4 linked regions of the Arabidopsis thaliana genome follow. The protein of the gene in region 3 interacts with the protein of the main gene of each other region in a pairwise test. Each region holds a gene or a part of one and is shown on either strand. Other genes may lie near its edges. The genes, in order: CPSUFE, AT1G55805, GrxC5 and AT5G17560.

Region 1 (4,431 bases), 820 kb from region 3:
CACGACGAAGAAATGAAAAAGAATACGGTACAGTTCTCTGAGTCAGTAGTCATCTTCAAAGTCTTTAGCTTTGGCATGTTTATTCAACTATATTTCTATTTGCTTACCCACAACTTGTATAAAAGAAAAAGACCTAGTGAACTCTATCCAAGAACCGAGATCGGAGTTTGTACTATTTCCAAGATAAAGAAACTGGAAAGATATTATCTTTCTATGAAGCAGATCCATAATTGATCCACAAGACACAGTGCCAAGACCAATGTTGTATTTTAATACAGTTCAACATACCTGAACCACCAGAGAAAAGAATTAAGACCAAAAGCAAAAGAGGTACAAGCATTAGATGCCTATGTTGGTTCCCTTTAGGACTTAAAGTAATCAAAATCAGTAAAACACACAAGAAGAAGCTTAACCATTTTTTAGCATATACCAACACAGAGGATTTTAATATTCAAAATCTCAACTTTGATCAAAAAAAAAAAAAAAAAAAAGATACAATGGTCTCAGGAAAGAAAAGTTGCAGAAATTGGTTGGCTAAAACCACAGCTGGTTTCACTAGACAGGTATGTAAAGCTGATTGTATATAAAACCCCACAAGTCTCAGCTAATGGGGCTTTAAGAAACATCACATGTCTAACGGTAGACTGAAACAGGGATCATCTGAAACTCCTTTCACATTTTTTACTTATTTTATCAGAAAGAAGTAAAGCAACCAAATCTCTTTCTTTTTTTCTGTAGTCCCTCAAACCAACTTGCATCACTTGATTAGACAATACCAACTTTGAGTATCTAGATTCTAGAAGAATTAAAAAATGAACAAGAAACTTCGCATGTCTAATGGTGGCATGAATATAGTACCATTTTTCTCCCCAAATTCCTTTTTCGCTTTCCCTAGGTGCTGTGATCTTTCTAACGATTCAAACTTAGCCAAATGGACAACAACCTTGAGCATTCTCTCTATTCATCTCTCAAAGCGTAGGTACAAAACTTAATATCAGGAAACCATATCAAAACAAAAAAGACCTTGACCCTCATAAGATAAAGGGAAATCAGTTTGAAAATGGTGAATCATGTGGCGATTGGCGAAAACATTATTTATATCCTTCAATATCTATCTCTCATTTAACACAATCCTGATCGAGCTCTTAACATTATTAGAAGGTCCAGAGAACAATATCCAAAGCAAATGGACCAAAAGAAGTAAAAGAATCAGGACCTGACTTCTTCCAATGTTACACCCTCAAACCTCAGCAGGAGTCTTTGCCACAATAGAGAGAGCATGTAACCCGCTCTTCAACTCATCTTGCAACAAGTCATATATCAGCCTATGTCTCTTGACCAAGCTTTTACCTTGGAAAGCATCCGAAACGATTCGCAAGTTGAAATGTGTTTCCCCATCATCACCAGCACTACCTCTAACAGCGGCATGTCCTGCGTGCTGGTAAGAAACATCTTCAACTTCTAACTCAACAGGATCTAGCTCCTTCTCCAATTTCTCTCTTATCCTCATCCCTCTACTCCCTAAAGCAACAACATTTGACCCACTCTCAGAATCATCAATCTTTTCTGTTCCCAAATCCTCAACTAGATCAGGTTTAGACTCCAAATCCACCTCCGGAACATTAGCTTCGTCCTTAGTCTCAGGAATAGACACAAAGCTGGATTCTGAACTCTCTCCAGAACTTGAATCTTCCTCACCTTTGACTTCCAAATGAAGAGCCTTTTTCTGCATCAGCTTAAGCATATTAAGTAATCCATTGTTTCTAGAAGGAGACAGACTCTGCTGCAACCCGAGAAGAACAGCGAAATCAGGTGTTATCCTCAAAATCTCAGGGACAGGTCTTCCAGATAAACCCTTGACTAATAGAGCAGCTAACCCTTTAGTGAGAACCGAATCAGAATCAGCTTCATACACAACATTACGTTCCTCATCAAAGAAAGCCCTAACCCAAACCTGAGAAACACATCCTTCTACTTTATTCTCCCTCGTCTTGAATTGAGAATCGAGAGGTGTCAGATTCTTCCCGTAGAACATAAGCTGCTCGTATTTAGCCTTTGGCTCTTGTACCGATTGGAAAAGCTTGACGATCTCTTGTAGCTTCGGTGGAAGCTCTTCGATTGGTTGAAGGTCTCCATAGCTCGACGGAGATGATGAAGCCGATGGTGGAGGAACAATCCCGGTTGAAATTTTCTGGAAAGTGATGATCGTCCGGCGAAAGGAAGGAACTTCCGACGGTTTTAGTGGTCGTAGAAGAAGGGTTTTGGCCGGATAATGGATTGAAGAAAACAAGGTCCGTTTGAATGGGATTAAACGAAGCGAGGAAGCGCAACAAGAAGAAGACATCGCTGCTGCCATAGTCGCGAACTTGAAACTTCGAGAGAGACTGAGATGATGATGAAAGCTCTCCTTCTTCACTTTTTCTGAGTCAAAAACCAATACCGCCAATTAGGTAGTAACCGGGAATTAAACCGGGAATGTACCAAAATCCAAAAATTAGATGTAAAATCAATTGTGGGGTTGATTATGAATAATTAGAAAGTATACGACTCTTTTCATAAATAAGGAAAAGAAAAAGATATCTAGATTTTTTTTGTTTTGTTTTGAAGCATCGTCTTCCTGGTTCTTCGTTCTCTTGCGTTCGTCACCTCAAACACGTCCGCCATTATTATATATCAAATCAATCATGTCCGAATCCAGCTTTTACCAATGTAAGCAATTAAATTAAATTAAATAAAAACACTTTTATCAAATTTAATCAAATTAAAAAACTGTCCCTTTCTTATCTGAGATTCTATTGTTTCTGTCTACTTCCACAGAAAGAAACTGCATCTCCGTTTTTTTTTCTGATTTGAGGCTTTCCTTAGATCCTTGAGAGCAAAACTGAATCTGGGTAATTTTAAAAATCTCATTTTTACGACTTATCTCTTTTGAACGATCTGTTTTTTCATGTAAGTACGATTTCACCTCGAGATGATCGATCATTGCTCTTCTGGTTCTTCCATGTTTGATTAAATGTTATAACTTGAGGGTTTTGTTTCTTTTGGATTGTTCTCGCATTTGTTGATCTATGGTTATCAAAAGAGTTTGGATTTACAGTTTTTGGTTGCAGCTGAAATTTTTCACTCTTTTCTTCTCTGTTTTGCTGGATAAAGTTGGATTTGATTCACATTGTTGTTTAGAATCTAGATGAAGTTGTAAGATTCCTTGTATTGTGTTTGCTTATGCATGATTGTGATAAAGATTTAAGTTATTTTACCAATGTACAATGTCCAGAATTGTCGTCGGGATGGGTTCTAAGTCCGTTGTTGACATGATCGAAGCTGCCTCGCGGGCACATTTTTCTGGTTTACACGTGAATGGGCACATGAATGGGTTGGAACCAAGTGCACTTAAGGAAACCACTTCTGCATCAGAAGATATCCAAAGACAGCCTTTTGTAATAGGTGAGTTCTGCTTTTGCTTTCATTTTTGATTAATATATGGTCGTGGATAAAAAAAGCTTGACGAATGGTCTTGATTGATATGTTGTGACTTGAATTGGTTAGGTGTTGCTGGAGGCGCAGCATCGGGAAAGACTACTGTTTGTGATATGATAATCCAGCAACTGCACGATCAGCGTGTTGTACTTATTAACCTGGTAATTTTGTTTTGCTAATAAAGTTTCATAGAGCTAAGTGATAACCACCGGTTTGATTTGTGTTTCGAATGTATATGAAGTCAATTGAATTCCACACAATTTAGAGATCTAAAAGGAGAATATTACCAGCTAATAACTTATATATGGCTGAAGTTTAACATTGTTCAACCTTGTCACCATTGTTTAGATATTTATGTCAGTCTATTTATCTAATTCTCAAATTCCTTTGGCATCATGATAAACCACAAATTGCTCGACTTAATATCCTATGATAATGATTTTTGGCAGGACTCGTTCTATCATAATCTGACTGAAGAAGAACTTGCTAGAGTTCATGAATACAACTTTGATCATCCAGGTGAGAATATATTTGGAGTGTAATTGCTTTCTGTAATCTACTCTTGTCAATACATAGTGTCATCAGGAGTAAAAAATCTTTCCTAGCTTCTTTGGCCATTTTTTTTTTTTTTATAATACTTCTTTGGGATAATTAAGGCATAACTAACAGCCATATTATTCAGTGATATCTTACTAATTGATGTATTCTCTTTTATTAAAGCAATTTCATCCCTGACAGCACATTACTAGTTGCTGGGAGTTATGAGAAAAAGTCTTGTGCATTACTCTTTGTCATCCACCGTTAATTTCTTTTTATCCAGGATTCTAATGAATTGTTGTTGTTTCTGTAGACGCATTTGACACAGAGCATTTATTGTCTTGTATGGAGAAATTGAGGCAAGGGCAAGCTGTAGATATTCCAAAATATGATTTTAAAACTTACAGGAGCAGTGTT
Region 2 (3,899 bases), on a different chromosome or scaffold from region 3:
TCTTTCCTGTGGAAACCGGTGTGCGGGAAGTTGAAGATGACACGATCGAATCTTCTATAACGAAGATCAGGATGAAAATGCAGTGTGGTAGCATCAACTCCATGTAAAAGGAAAGCTCCAAGTCTCTTCAATGTTTCAAGATTTGATCTTGCATTCTTGTATTTTCTAACCACATCATCTGGTTTAATTACCATAAAAGACATGCAACAACTGAGGAAATCGAGCTTAAAGCTGCAACCTTTGTTAACAGGTTTATAATCTATAAACAGAGAGTAAAACAGTGTAAATCTTGAATAATCAAATCATTCACCGGAAGTTCAAAAACTTAGTAAGTGATCACAGAAATGGAAGTGATAACGAAATCAAAACCTTAATAACTCTTACAATGTAAGTAAACCAAGTGTTACCGTATGAATCGAGAGAGGAAGCATAGATATTGGAAGCAGAGCCGAAGCAAGTGGCTAAGCTGCAAGAGAAGGAGAAATCTCCTTCGCCTACGAGAAGTATCTGGTGCTTGGATGAATAGTGTTTGACCCACACTTCTTCATCACCGTCTCTGTCTCTGTTAAGCTCCGAGAGCTCCCTCATCGCCAATGTAGTGAAAATGATGATAGTTTGGAAAGTTGTTTTTTTTTCGTTTTATTTATCTTCGGACATATACTAACGTAACTTGCTCTGTTGATGTATAGAAGAGGGACGGTTTAGCTTCTCCAGACAATGGAAATGACGATTCACTTTACCCACAAAAGAAAAAGGTGATCACTGATTAGATTTGGTTTAAGCCCATAAAGTACATATATTTGTTGCTAAAGGAAGGTGACATGGACTATTGGAAAAGGCGTTTTGTTTCTAGCGTTAGCGATTAGAAGACGCAAACGCCATTGATGACAATGGGAGAATAATCTGAAGAAGAAAGAGACAGAAACATGGAAAAACAACCCTTTTGGCTCCAAGCTAACAAACACGGCACAATCGAGCTTCCTTTGAGAATTCAAACACATGACCATTGATTGGACTTTCAACTAAATGGAGCCTTAATTCAATTCATCAAGCTATGACCATTATAGTTTTGAATGCTAGAAAAGACAGAACTCGAATTGAACTAAAAGCAAGTGTCTTTGTTCCAACACACAATTCCAGAAACACCAACACACAACCTCAAGCGTATGTAAAAATGAAGACTTTGGCTCCGCAATAAATTCCAAAACAGAGCACTTTGATGGTAAAAATTCAATCTTTGAATCGAACAGAGTTTGATGAGAAACTCTGATAACAGAAACAGAAGATACATTAAACAGTACCAGTACACTAGTCTTTAGAAGGAGACTCAGACGGCGTCTTGGAGACGATAGAAAGAGCGTGCAATCCAGTATCCAACTCTTCCCGGAGCAAATGATAGACCAACCTGTGTCTCTTCACCAAATTCATTCCCTCGAATCCTTTAGAAACGATCTTCACATTGAAATGCGTCTCATCGTCGGTTCTACCTTTCATTCCGGCGTGACCAGCGTGCTGATACGAAACATCTTCGATCACTAACTCCACTGGTTCGAGCTCTTTTTGAAGCTTCTCTCTCATCCTGCTCGCTCGATTCTCTATTGCTCCAGAATCCGACCCGGTTTTCTCAACGCTGCTCATTGCTACGGATCTTGAACCAGTTCCCGTCGATTTTGACTCAGAGTTGAAGAATTTAGGTACGGAGATGAAGACGCTCGGAGAATTTACCGGCGATTTTAGGGGTTGAGTCCGGTGGAACCCAGATACGATTAACCTAATCGAAGATGAAAACATTGCCACTGTCGAAGAAACTCGAAACTATATTAGACGCTGTCGTTTTGTCAGCTTATCATCTTCACGAATCTACTATTAGAGGCGTTATTTGCATTAAGGTCCACAAATTTTCAAATATAATAACATCACCCCACATTTGTGAGAAAAAAATTACAAAAAAACAAACAAACTCTAAAAGTGTATCGAAACACCCTCATACTTCTTCACATTTGTGTGAGAAATCAAATAACAAATACATTCGAAAAATGTTTGTGTATATGATTTAATATTTTTTTGGTGTGGTTAAAAAACTTAAGACATAATTAAGTAATAACAATTTACAATTGTAACGTGGATATTTTTTGAAATGTTGATTTATGACCAAAATAGTATTAGATGAATTCTCCAAGAAGATCATGGTATGATAAGAATAAGATGGTATAGTGCTAAAACATACCCAAAACTGTAATCAGTTTTTGAAGTAAAGGCAATATCTTTGATTTGGGTAATAGTTTGTTTCGATAATTTTGGATGTACAAAATTAATTTTTAAAGTGGTTCTAAGCTGCTCATCCAAATTTTTTAAGGATCCTAATCTCTGGTCTAAACTTCATTAATGAATCATAAAAAAATCTACGGAACTAAAAGAAGAAATTGATTATATCCTTCAAATTTTATAGACAAACAATCGTGCAGATTAAATTGTAAATATGCTAATTTTGTTCCTGTGTATAATATTTTACATTGTAGCATCCTTTGGTAGTGTAGATGTTGAGAAAACTAATATTAATTGGTAAATTATATATTTCGAAAAACAAAATTCAGGTAAATAGATTTGGAGGAAACATATGAAGTTAAAATGTTATGGATAAAAACAGAATAAACAAATTATTGTAGACGTAATCCAAAATAGTATAAAATAAATAATTTTGCAGTAACGTAAGATTGCATTCGACCACACGCATCTATATCACTGCGTTTTTAGCTGCAGCTTTCGATAGTAGGTCCTACATCCTATTCGGATCTGACGTGGATCCTTGATCACACTCTCTACTTTAGGGACTCAAACACTCTCACATTTACGAGAATTGCCACTACCACGTCCCTCAGTGGGAAGGGTACTTTCGTAAAACCAAAAAAACCACTTTCCGGTTTCCGCAAAAACCCGTCACCGCCGCTGCATCCTCCCTTCATTCTTTTCTCTCTTTCAACGCATATACATACACTTATATACGTTATCAATATATTTTATTTTTAATAAGTCCAGTTTTTGTCTGTGCATCGAGTTTAACAGGCAATGCTCGTGTCTCTCTCTCTTTATATGTTTAGATTCTTTATCTGGAACTTGGAAGCTCTTTTGTTAGCTATATCTAATCGGTGATCTCGAAGCTTATTCAATCCCTCTTTCTTTTTTCGTGAGTTTTTATCTTCATGTTGATTCGGTTTATATTGGTTTATATGATGATGAAACGTTTCTTATAATTCTTTTGCATGTATTGATCTAAAAAAATCTAGCTTTCTTCTCTTCTGATCTCTGTTTTCTTTTTGTTCTTTCCCTTTTTTACCCGGGAAAAAGTTACGGTTTCATGTTTAGGATTGGCGTTACTATTATCTGGTGGCCTATCATGATTGGTTGATTGTTTTGTGTGTTATACTGGATTTGAGAAAATGGGTATCACGGCATTGGCACTTGTGGCATCTAACTAATATCACTAAAAAGTTTGATTCTTTTGAGGAATTGTTTTTTGACTGGAAAGTGTTCCTTTTTGTTCCTGGATGGTGACAACAAAGGTAGCTTTGCTTTCCTTATTGGCATATTTCATGTGAATTTAGATTTGCATATTTGTGTTGTAGGAATGGCTTCAAAGTCGGATGTGAATATAATAGAGACATCCTCAAAGGTTCATTTCTCAGGATTTCATCAAATGGATGGTTTAGCTTCAAATAGACCAGAGCAAATGGCTGAGGAAGAAGAACATGGTCAACCTTTTGTGATCGGTGAGAGTCGTGGTGGATTTTAGTTTACCAAAGATGGTTAGAAACAGAAAATGTTAAATAGAAAATGTTGTTTTCAGGAGTTGCTGGAGGTGCAGCATCCGGGAAAACAACTGTCTGTGATATGATTATGCA
Region 3 (5,035 bases):
TTAGCCTCATGTACCCTCACCGCATGTTACCTATTTAGAAACTACAAGGTGAGATGTTGAATTTGAGTGACCATTATCTTTTTGCTTTCTTCTTTGTTTTTGCCATACTTGTCACTTGTCATCTCACATTCACACTTATTCTCAATCTATTTTCATCACCTTGGCAAAAATCCTAGCTAGATAGGCATCATCTTGGATTCTAGTTATGTGGTCTGGTTGTGAATATTTAGCTAGCTAGAAATCTATCACATAGGTAGATATGCGTCAATATACATTTACAGTGCCATTTACTTTTCTTTTTTACGAAATTGCGTAACAAGATTTCATACGACTTTGATTTAAAAGTTGTCAATCACACCAATTTTACATATTTCGACCAAATTCTTATTGTTTTTCAAATAAAATACGGTCTACTTTGACTATCAGATTAACCCAAAAAATACCTCAAAAAATTGATTATATCCGAAAAAATAATTACTTTTTGGATTAAAAATTTTTATCGAAAATCGTTATCGTGAGAGTTAGATTTAGGTCTTATTTGAATCTACTTTTGATTAATTAGTATATATAAATGGGTCAAAATGATTTGAGAGCTGCTTTGAAGATATTAGTGACAAAGAGTAAATGGGTAACACATGCGAATGGTCACAAATTCTGCAGTGGAGAAATCACTCATGTTCAAGGGTCCACATTGTTCATCTTACACATTACCAAAGTCTGCAAAAACTAGGGTTTGTTCCTTTCACATGCCTATGTCTGTTAGATGAACTACCTCTCGTGAAAAGAAAAAAAATATATTCCTCTACACTAAACACAAGAAAGAAGAAACCAACAAACACTTGTATTTACCACAAACAATTTTCAAAGATTTCATTTACGTATAAGTCAATTTTCCAAGTCCAAAGTTTAGGATAGATACGTAATCAAATAAATAATAGACAATGTATGTTATAAAAGTAGGAACTAGTACTTCTCTATCAAGTAACTAACTATACAAGCTCATCAAGTTTTTTTTTTCTTTAATGTAATTTGTTTATAGTTTATCAAGTTTTAGTTCTTATATATACTCAAATATGTACGTAAAGAAAAAATAATTCGAATGTACTGGATTTAATCATTGGGATGGTAAAGTTTCGAATGGAACACTACTGTACCCATATCTCTATATCCCTTTTTATGTACCTGCAACCCCACACACACATATATATATATAGTATGGGCATTTTAGTTCCAATCCGGCTAGAGATTCATTCTGATTATGTATAATATTTATAATGTTTCTAGTATTTAGAAATTTGATATTTCTGTGTAAAATTTCTTACACAATATTTTTTCTTATCATTAGATTTTGTAAGCAAATACAAACCTTAACTAGCTAGCTTAATACATTATTTTTGAGTTGTGTAGAAGAATTCCGAAATTCCACATATGTAAATGCCTAAAATAATTAAAAAGAAATAGATATTTAGATCATTCGCTCGGATACAGATTGGATACGAATATCTGAATTTTCTTAAGTGTTTGATTTGTACCAATCGTTAGTATTTACTCATACACGCATGGATGGACACAGACAACACTAGGAACTTGTACAAATGAGAGTACTTGCCAATTCTTTTAGTCAGTTTTATAATATAATTGTTTATAATTAAAATGAGTTATGTTTTGTGTGGTGCATGTATATAATATTTAATACATGTATGTGTGCATATATTTATGTATGTCAATGCAACAAAGATTTGGGCTTATAAATGAATGAAGAAAATGTTGGTGGGATATGGACAAAAACAAATTGGAGAAACAATGAAATAATTCGAACCCATGACGTTACAACTAGTCAAAAGTCCCCACATGATCTTATCAAACGTAGGTCCATGGATGAGTTGTTTTCGATATCATAAATTTCTCACGAATTTTGTTATATGGCCTTTAAGTGTAAAATGACAAAACTTGCCAAACAAATCATAGACCCAATGCAATTTAGATATCATTGGTGAATGGTTATAGTAAGTTTAATAGCTTTCAATTCAAAATCAATTGAAATGAATGGCTTGACTTATGTTACTTAGTTATTATTATTAATTTCATGATATTTCTTATGTGAGATTCGTAACATGTTTCTTCAAAATAATTCATCTTTCATCTCATCTTGTATGATATCATGATGAGTGAGATATGATTTGTTTTCAAGTCTTATAAAGCCTATTAGGCCCAGAACCACGAATACTTTTCAGAGAAGAAAACGCCCATTAGTAATAGTATAGGCCCATTAAGTATTAGAATAACAAAAATTCAGATTTTTTTTGTTGGTCACGAAAATTTAGCTTTTTAATTTAATAAAAGAAAAATGGGAAAAGAGGACAAGTCACGTCACGAGACAAATTAGCATAGCACGCAAAGAAGAAGAAGAAGAAGAAGCTCCAAGAATCTGTCGCAGAAATCGCCATGGCAGTCACAGCATTTAACACATTGAAACTTGTATCGTCGTCTCTAGATCCGATTCCTTCAGTCTCTTGTTCTTCTTATTCCTTCTCTCTGATATATGTCGGATCTCCTTACAAGAGATGTCTAAAGCAGTCATGTTCTGTTCGAGCTATGACTTCTTCTTCTTCGGCTGCATCGTCTTCTTCTTCGTCCTTTGGATCGAGAATGGAAGAGAGTATTAGGAAAACAGTGACTGAGAACACTGTCGTTATTTACTCCAAAACTTGGTGCTCGTATGTTCACTACTCTCTTTCGTTATCAGTTTTAATTAGGATTTGTTTTATTTCTTTCTTTTTGCTTAATTGGAGAATGGGTTTATCAAATATCCTTGTAAATTTTCGTTTTTACTGTTATTCAGATCTTAATGTTTCTGTTGATAATTTGTTGGTGTTTGGTGTGTATTGAAGATACTGTACTGAAGTGAAGACATTGTTCAAGAGACTTGGGGTTCAGCCACTGGTTGTTGAATTGGATCAACTTGGTATGTTTGCATTTCCTTAACATTTCTATCTTTTTTTTCCATAGCTTAGCTTGAGTAATTGATTTGATCATGATAATACTATATCATGGCTTTAGATAGATGATGAGGTAATGCTTGTTAGTTTTTAAAAGTATCCATTAGTATTGCCTTTAACCTTTAGATTTTGGTTACATATGCATATTACTATTCTAGTTTATGTTGTGGCATTTAGACTCGTTGAAAGAATGCAAGTCTTGTTTACCTTCTGAGTGATTTAGTTTTTCAGATTCGAATGAGTTTACATGTTTATCTTTAACTTTTCTTTCTGGACCATTGGGTTGAAAATGTACATTTTGGGGATTCTTGTTTGCCTTTGATATTTGTTGTAACCTGCTTTTGTTTCTCACTAGTCCATACTTGTATATATCATAAAAGTAAATGTGTCTCTCTCTTTGAGAACAGTTGAAGATGCAATTGTCAAAATGTTTGGTGATTTTGGACAACAAAGAATGATTTGTTATGTTCTATCTAAAGTTCTGTTTGACTAAACTATGTTTGGTTAATTTCAGGTCCACAAGGGCCACAACTGCAGAAGGTACTGGAAAGACTTACTGGGCAACACACTGTTCCTAATGTTTTCGTATGTAAGTAGTTTAATCCGTTTACATCGATCATATCTTCATTGAAACTCTGTTTTCCTTATATATCCTACCTGCTTCAAAAGATGAAACCTTTAGATGTCCCAAAGAAGTGAACAACATAGTTTCAGTTAATAGCTAGTCATAACAGTGTCTAATCTTTGTCCTAATGAGCAGGTGGCAAGCACATTGGTGGCTGCACAGGTACTTTCCTCCTTCTCTTCTCACCTCTTTGGTTTCTTCTACTTCTCAAATGTGAGATGCCTCAGTTTTGGATATTGTTTCACTCAACTATTGGCATTATCTTCTTGTTCTTGTGCTACAGATACAGTGAAGCTTAACAGGAAAGGAGATCTGGAACTGATGTTAGCTGAAGCCAACGGTAAAAACGGTCAGAGTTGAGGAGATGTTGAAACTGGTTCGGAGATTTTTGCATACGGAGCTTGGAAAGTTTTCTCATTTTTGTTATTATCATTGTACCTCATTTGAATACAATAATTATAGTTAATAAATAACATATACATATCATGTAATTGTTGATCTCTCTTTGTTTTTCACCACTTGAATTCACAGTTTTCAAGCCTTCAGAGTAATCCAAATATTACCAATCCCAGGCTGATAAATAAAGAAGGAAAAAAGTGGCCTAATATATATTCTAGAAAATCCAAAATCAGAGAGAAGCGTGGCAAGTTTAGGATCACAGGTCAATAGAGTGAAAAATGATCCCAAACTGAAAAGAGATGTCATCTTCTGAAACAGGGGAAGTTGCAGAGAATCTAGCGAGACCAATGGCTACTCTGGTCTCGTCTCAAACTTACATCTACCATTGTCATATTAGTAAACAAGCTCTTTATCAGGCAAAAGAATCATACTCTCATCGTAGAATTTCCCGTCATAATCACAGAGAAAGACTCGATTTTTCTCATAGAAACCATAGATTGACAATAACTAGAAAGCAGCAACCTTTGTCTTTCAACACCGTGTGTTTTGCCGCAGACGAGCCCTCCGAAATCAGGTAAACTTCGACTTCTTCTAACCTTATTAAATTGGGGTTCGTCTTTAGATTTGAATGAATTATGGTTTAGGTTCTATCTGTGTCGTTGTTGAATCAATTTTAGTACTTGGTAGGTTTATGCTCATTGACATGATGAAAGGTTAAAACTTTGAATGCAAGAATGTTATCTCACACCTTGTGTAATGTCACAGCTAAGTTATCTCTGTTTATGGTTTCAGTGCTGATGCTAGAATCCGTAGTGAGGTTCTGTCTCCGTTCAGATCAGTCCGTATGTTCTTCTACCTCGCCTTTATAGCAAGCGGTTCATTAGGAGGACTAATAGCCACTTCTAGGCTCATAGGTGCCCTGGCGAATCCGGCTAGATCAGGTGAAGTTCTTGAGATCGTTAAGGGTTTGGGAGTTGACATTGGTGCTGCTTCTCTCTTTGCGTTCCTATAC
Region 4 (4,708 bases), on a different chromosome or scaffold from region 3:
TAAAATAGAATCAAAATCGGATTAATTTTGATTAAATTCTGGTTAAGTCAAACCGGATGAAAAATTATCAGTTAACTGGTCGGTTCAATTGGAGGCATAGTTTTAAGAACAAATCCGAAAGTATGTGTAGTTTTATCGAGATTAAAGTTTTTTATGATGGTTTTTTAAGTGGCTAAAAGTTTAGAGTGAAAAGTTGAGATTCCAACTAGTATAGGACCGAAAATTCAGCCAACCCATGAGACTATGATGCAATGCCTCTTTGGCTCTTTCCTCTTTTGATTTGACGTGACAAACCTTACATAGGACACTTCATTTATTGAACAGCCGAAATGAATTGGATGAAGAGCACGTTTATGTTTCAGTGAATTTATGAATTTGTGTGTAGAGATTCAAAATTATTCCAAAACAGAACTAACCAAAAGGAACAAGAACCGAAACCCAATAACTTTGGTATTCAGGTAAGAAAAAAAAAAGAACTTAAACAAGCTTTGCATTGTACAATGCACAAGAGAAACAAAAACATGTTCTCCATTCTTCAATGGCTGGACAAGGCCAAACAGTTTTCTAAAACCTGTTTCTTCCCTCACATTACACAACAATTTGGTGAAGACTCGAGCATGTCCGGAGACCTGTGAACATATATATATACAAAACTTAGTCACCTTGGGGTCTTTAAAGATCACAGAGATTCCAATAAGGAAGAAGACTTACATTTGGCCCAGACTAGCGAAATCAAAGCCAGGATCCATCTCTTGCACTATATCACTCGGTGGTTGTCCACACTCTTGCATCTTCTGCATTATCTCCATTATCTTGGTCGAATTGTTTGGTTCGTTCTCGTACACCAAGTTGAGTTCTTTGATAAGTTCATACTGGCGTGAATAACGATCGAATTCTTCCTTGTTTAGACTGGATTCATGCTCTTCTAGCCATTTTGGGTATCTTGCACCAATCTCTTTCATTGGTTCGTGAAGAATATCCTTCGATAACAGCTGTTGCATCATCGTGTCCACTATCGACTCCAAGTCCTAAACAAAAACATGGAAATTATGAAATGAGAAATCATAAAAACAAAACTTCTAGTGATCAAGACTACTTTCAAATGGTTCTGCAAACTAATTCTCATCTTCAATTGTGGTTTTTTCGATATTAGTATCAGTATCACTACTATTAACACAGCCTTCAAAACTACTTTGCAACATGTGTTACTACTCTGCAACAACCTTAACTAGATGAAACTTTAGTAATCTAATCTAATCAGAGAACTTGAAGATAAAGAGAACATTAAACTAGATAAGTATAGCAAGAAGTAACAACTCAGTTTGTGTATACTTACGTTAGACCCAGTAAGATTCTCGAATTGCTTGATCCAATCTTCAACCATAGCATCATCAGAACCTGTAGGTTGCTGCTTCGATGACAAGGACTCAAGTCCCTTCACAGTTTCTCTAGTTTGTTCCCTGAGTTTATCAAGTGCCTCAGTAACATGGTCCTCTTTAGCAATCTTTTTCTTTCCTTTCTTCTTACTCCTCATATCTGGTAACCCCATTCCAAGACCTTGAACCCCACTTGGCAATGACTCTGTCTCTTTTTTATCACCCTCTTCTTTCTTAACCCCTCCATTTCTACATAAATCCAAAGCTAATCAACACCACAATTCCCACCAAAAACATAACAGAACCTCTAATTTAGTATTGATGTAACCACAATCTCAAAACTCTAGAGCTAAGTAATCTAACCACGTGGCATAGATACAATTAGAGAGAGACAGAGATTATGAGAAAAAGGAGTAACCTTTGAGTAAGATTAAGATCCTTGAAATCATCCAAGGCACCTGAGAAAGACCCAGAATTCTAAATTATAGAAAACGAACCCACAAGAACAAAAACGTTTTTCACCAATCACCTAGAATTGGTGAACATGTTATCAAATCAAATTAAAATTCGTTAGGAAATTATTACTATCGAGAAGCTCGTCTAAGTCATCGGTGTGAGTATCGTTGGCCATATTCTCGAGTCTCTCTTCCTCAACTCTCGAAGAAACTCACAAAATTCGAAGAGGAAGAGAGAATTATCGCATTGAAGAGAGAAACAAATTTCCAAAGGCGGTGTTGTTCAATTGATCAAGTTCAGGATTCGATCCAACGGCTGACATTATTTCCATTAAAGAATTATATTATTAAAATCTTAAAATGACTTGAAACCACGAAAGCCCATTAAGTTTAACTGTGTTGTGTCGTAAGCCCATTTTTTCAAGAACCAACGACATTGCCACAGAACATTTTTTTTTTTTTTACTCGCAAGTCTCTCAAGCAATGGCGCAGACATTAATGGCGACAACTCGTCCGTACGTTCTTCTCTCTTCCACAAGAGCGAGTCTTTATCGCCTTTTTCAATCTTCAAAGAGACCCTTCGCTTCATTCTCAGCTCCTCTCGTGAGATTCACTAACTCGAGATGTGTAAGCGCCGTTTTGTCTCGTAAAGAGACTGCGCCGTCGTCGATTTACGGCAATAGAGTTTCTAGGGTTTCTGGGTTTGGTGCTTTGGACATTCGCAGCCTTAATTTCAGTACTAAATCCTCTCAAATCAATGATGCTGGTTCTATTGATCAAACCCTTATGCAATCCATGGAGCTAAAGGTTGGATTTTTATACCTCATTAACTAATTTCAGTGAAATTGATTCATTGTGTATGTTTCAGTGTCAATTCAATTTATAGGTTATAGTATTATTAGTGAATTTTTGAAGGAATTGATTGGATACTTGGTATTGGCAACATGTGTCATATTTAGTTGATGGAAACTTGGTATTGGCAACACGATTGCTCTCAGTAGCTCCAAAATGATCAAGATCACTAAGCTAAGATAATTAATGAGGAATCATGTCTCTTACTTATATGATTGAAGCAAACGATTCTTTTTTTCGATTTATCAACACATGTCTCTCTACTTATGAGGTTTTGGCTTCATTTGCAGATCAAAGAACAATTGAATGCAGAGTCGGTTACTGTAACGGATATGTCTGGAGATGGACGTCATGTCTGGTAAGTACTCTGATTTAACTCATTTTTGTCTTCCAATGATGATTCTTTATTACACTTGAGTGAAGTTGCAGATGTGTGTTATCACTGTTATGGATAGTGTTTAGTGAAGTTTGTTAGATATATAGATAAATTCATATTTTGAGATTCCTTTTCTTTCATTTTAATCACAAAAAAGTTTCAGGTTCAACAAGTAGTAGAATCATCAAAGTTGGGATATAAGTTAGTACTTATTCTTCTGCTCTTGATGGAATCCAGTCATAGATTCTTACTTTAACTTGTCATATTAGATGGTTCTGTTACTTAATACCAGTTTTGCTTAATATTTGTAGCATCAATGTGGTATCATCGGCTTTTGAGGGACAATCTGCAGTGAACAGACAAAGGATGGTCTACAAAGCCATTTGGGAAGAGCTTCAGAACGTTGTTCATGCCGTTGATCAAATGACAACAAAGACTCCTTCTGAAGTTTGAAGCGTTAAATTTTCCGAACTCTAAAAGGCTTCAATATCTTATATTATTTGATTAGCTGACAATGCTGTTTGTTTTATCAAAAAGAAAAAAGCAAAAGGAACTGATATACAGCTTTTGGTTATTTTTTAAGTACTTTGATTGGTTCTCTTGCAACCCGCCAACACATGTTAAGTGTTGGAGCGTTTGCGGTTTGCGGTTACACGTGTTTGGCGTTTTCAATCGCTCTAAATGAATAAGAACAAAATTAGCGTTTGTGGTGGCGGATTATCTTCAAAATAAACTTTATTCTCTACTAGCTAATGTTATCATTTCAAAAAAAAAAATTTAGTCGATAAATAGATTAAAATATATTTGTGGTCATAAAAATTATATGTATGCATGGAAACGTATCAATTCAAAACTGAAAAGTTTTTTGCAATGAAAATTGTAAGATTTATAATAATATGATTGTTGCTTTTATATACATGTTACATGCATGAATAGTGAATAACTGAATATTGAACTACTATGGTTGATTTGGGAACCGTATTAGCCATCAACTAGACAAAAATCGTTTATATCAGTAGTAGCAACACTTAATAATGGTTACAACTAGTCCATCTGCTCAAATTCCCATATCTTTACTTTAGCTACATGGATTAACAGTTTTTTTTTTTTTGTTATCGGTTATTATACCATCATTAGAAACATAATGTTGTTTTGTAAAAAAAGAAAACACTCATATTGTTACAACTTGGAAACATAAGTTCATTTAACTCCAATTATTACAAGTAGACAAACATAGGTTTTATAGATACTATACTACCACAACCCATCACATGTTTTTTTTCACATTATGATTGGTATTTACAAAACATAGTTGTTATAGATACTACCACAAGGTCCACAACCCATCACATGTTTTTTTTCACATAATGATTTTGATATTTTACAAGGTCTTGAAGTGAAAAGGAGAAAATGAAGAATGAACAGTGTGCGAAAACACACTATGTTCATTCCTTCATTTTACTATGAACACATATATATGTATGTGTAGAAGATACTACATGAATATTCTTAAGCAGCTTTGTTTCACCTTGGTATTAGTTCTCGCGGCAATGACGGCGATTAGGCCCGGACGGTTTTTCATAGGAAAGTTGAGCTTTTTCATAGGAAAATTGAGCTCTCCTTGGCAAGTTATGTCTTCTTGATGGACC

Evidence for each region.
Region 1: the proteins of GrxC5 (region 3) and CPSUFE interact in a two-hybrid assay, tested with the Arabidopsis thaliana proteins (one study listed by BioGRID).
Region 2: the proteins of GrxC5 (region 3) and AT1G55805 interact in a two-hybrid assay, tested with the Arabidopsis thaliana proteins (one study listed by BioGRID).
Region 4: the proteins of GrxC5 (region 3) and AT5G17560 interact in a two-hybrid assay, tested with the Arabidopsis thaliana proteins (one study listed by BioGRID).

Annotation. Positions count from the first base shown.
Region 1 is NC_003075.7:13,381,216-13,385,646, forward strand, and holds CPSUFE (chloroplast sulfur E), read right to left. Parts: upstream 2,427-4,431; 5' UTR 2,357-2,426; coding exon 1,241-2,356; 3' UTR 983-1,240; downstream 1-982. Other genes in the region: AT4G26490 (Late embryogenesis abundant (LEA) hydroxyproline-rich glycoprotein family), read left to right, coding at 1-16; UKL4 (uridine kinase-like 4), read left to right, coding at 3,288-3,444, 3,547-3,638, 3,927-3,996, 4,328-4,431. UniProt on the Arabidopsis thaliana protein: Participates in cysteine desulfurization mediated by NFS2 in chloroplast and NIFS1 in mitochondrion. Activates the cysteine desulfurase activity of NFS2.
Region 2 is NC_003070.9:20,857,648-20,861,546, forward strand, and holds AT1G55805 (BolA-like family protein), read right to left. Parts: upstream 1,837-3,899; 5' UTR 1,792-1,836; coding exon 1,309-1,791; 3' UTR 963-1,308; downstream 1-962. Other genes in the region: AT1G55803 (ferredoxin-fold anticodon-binding domain protein), read right to left, coding at 1-178, 408-588; UKL3 (uridine kinase-like 3), read left to right, coding at 3,626-3,767, 3,845-3,899. UniProt on the Arabidopsis thaliana protein: May act either alone or in interaction with glutaredoxin as a redox-regulated transcriptional regulator, or as a factor regulating Fe-S cluster biogenesis. The glutaredoxin-BOLA1 heterodimers bind a labile, oxygen sensitive iron-sulfur cluster.
Region 3 is NC_003075.7:14,196,729-14,201,763, forward strand, and holds GrxC5 (Glutaredoxin family protein), read left to right. Parts: upstream 1-2,314; 5' UTR 2,315-2,445; coding exon 2,446-2,717; intron 2,718-2,891; coding exon 2,892-2,965; intron 2,966-3,513; coding exon 3,514-3,588; coding exon of another isoform or gene 3,589-3,596; exon of another isoform or gene 3,597-3,759; coding exon 3,760-3,786; intron 3,787-3,907; coding exon 3,908-3,984; 3' UTR 3,985-4,175; downstream 4,176-5,035. Other genes in the region: AT4G28740 (LOW PSII ACCUMULATION-like protein), read left to right, coding at 4,323-4,597, 4,816-5,035. UniProt on the Arabidopsis thaliana protein: Has a glutathione-disulfide oxidoreductase activity in the presence of NADPH and glutathione reductase. Reduces low molecular weight disulfides and proteins. Can assemble a [2Fe-2S] cluster, but cannot transfer it to an apoferredoxin.
Region 4 is NC_003076.8:5,786,160-5,790,867, forward strand, and holds AT5G17560 (BolA-like family protein), read left to right. Parts: upstream 1-2,198; 5' UTR 2,199-2,314; coding exon 2,315-2,638; intron 2,639-2,973; coding exon 2,974-3,041; coding exon of another isoform or gene 3,042-3,045; exon of another isoform or gene 3,046-3,216; coding exon of another isoform or gene 3,217-3,235; exon of another isoform or gene 3,236-3,370; coding exon 3,371-3,512; 3' UTR 3,513-3,805; downstream 3,806-4,708. Other genes in the region: PEX19-2 (peroxin 19-2), read right to left, coding at 584-629, 712-1,028, 1,337-1,625, 1,795-1,834, 1,962-2,007.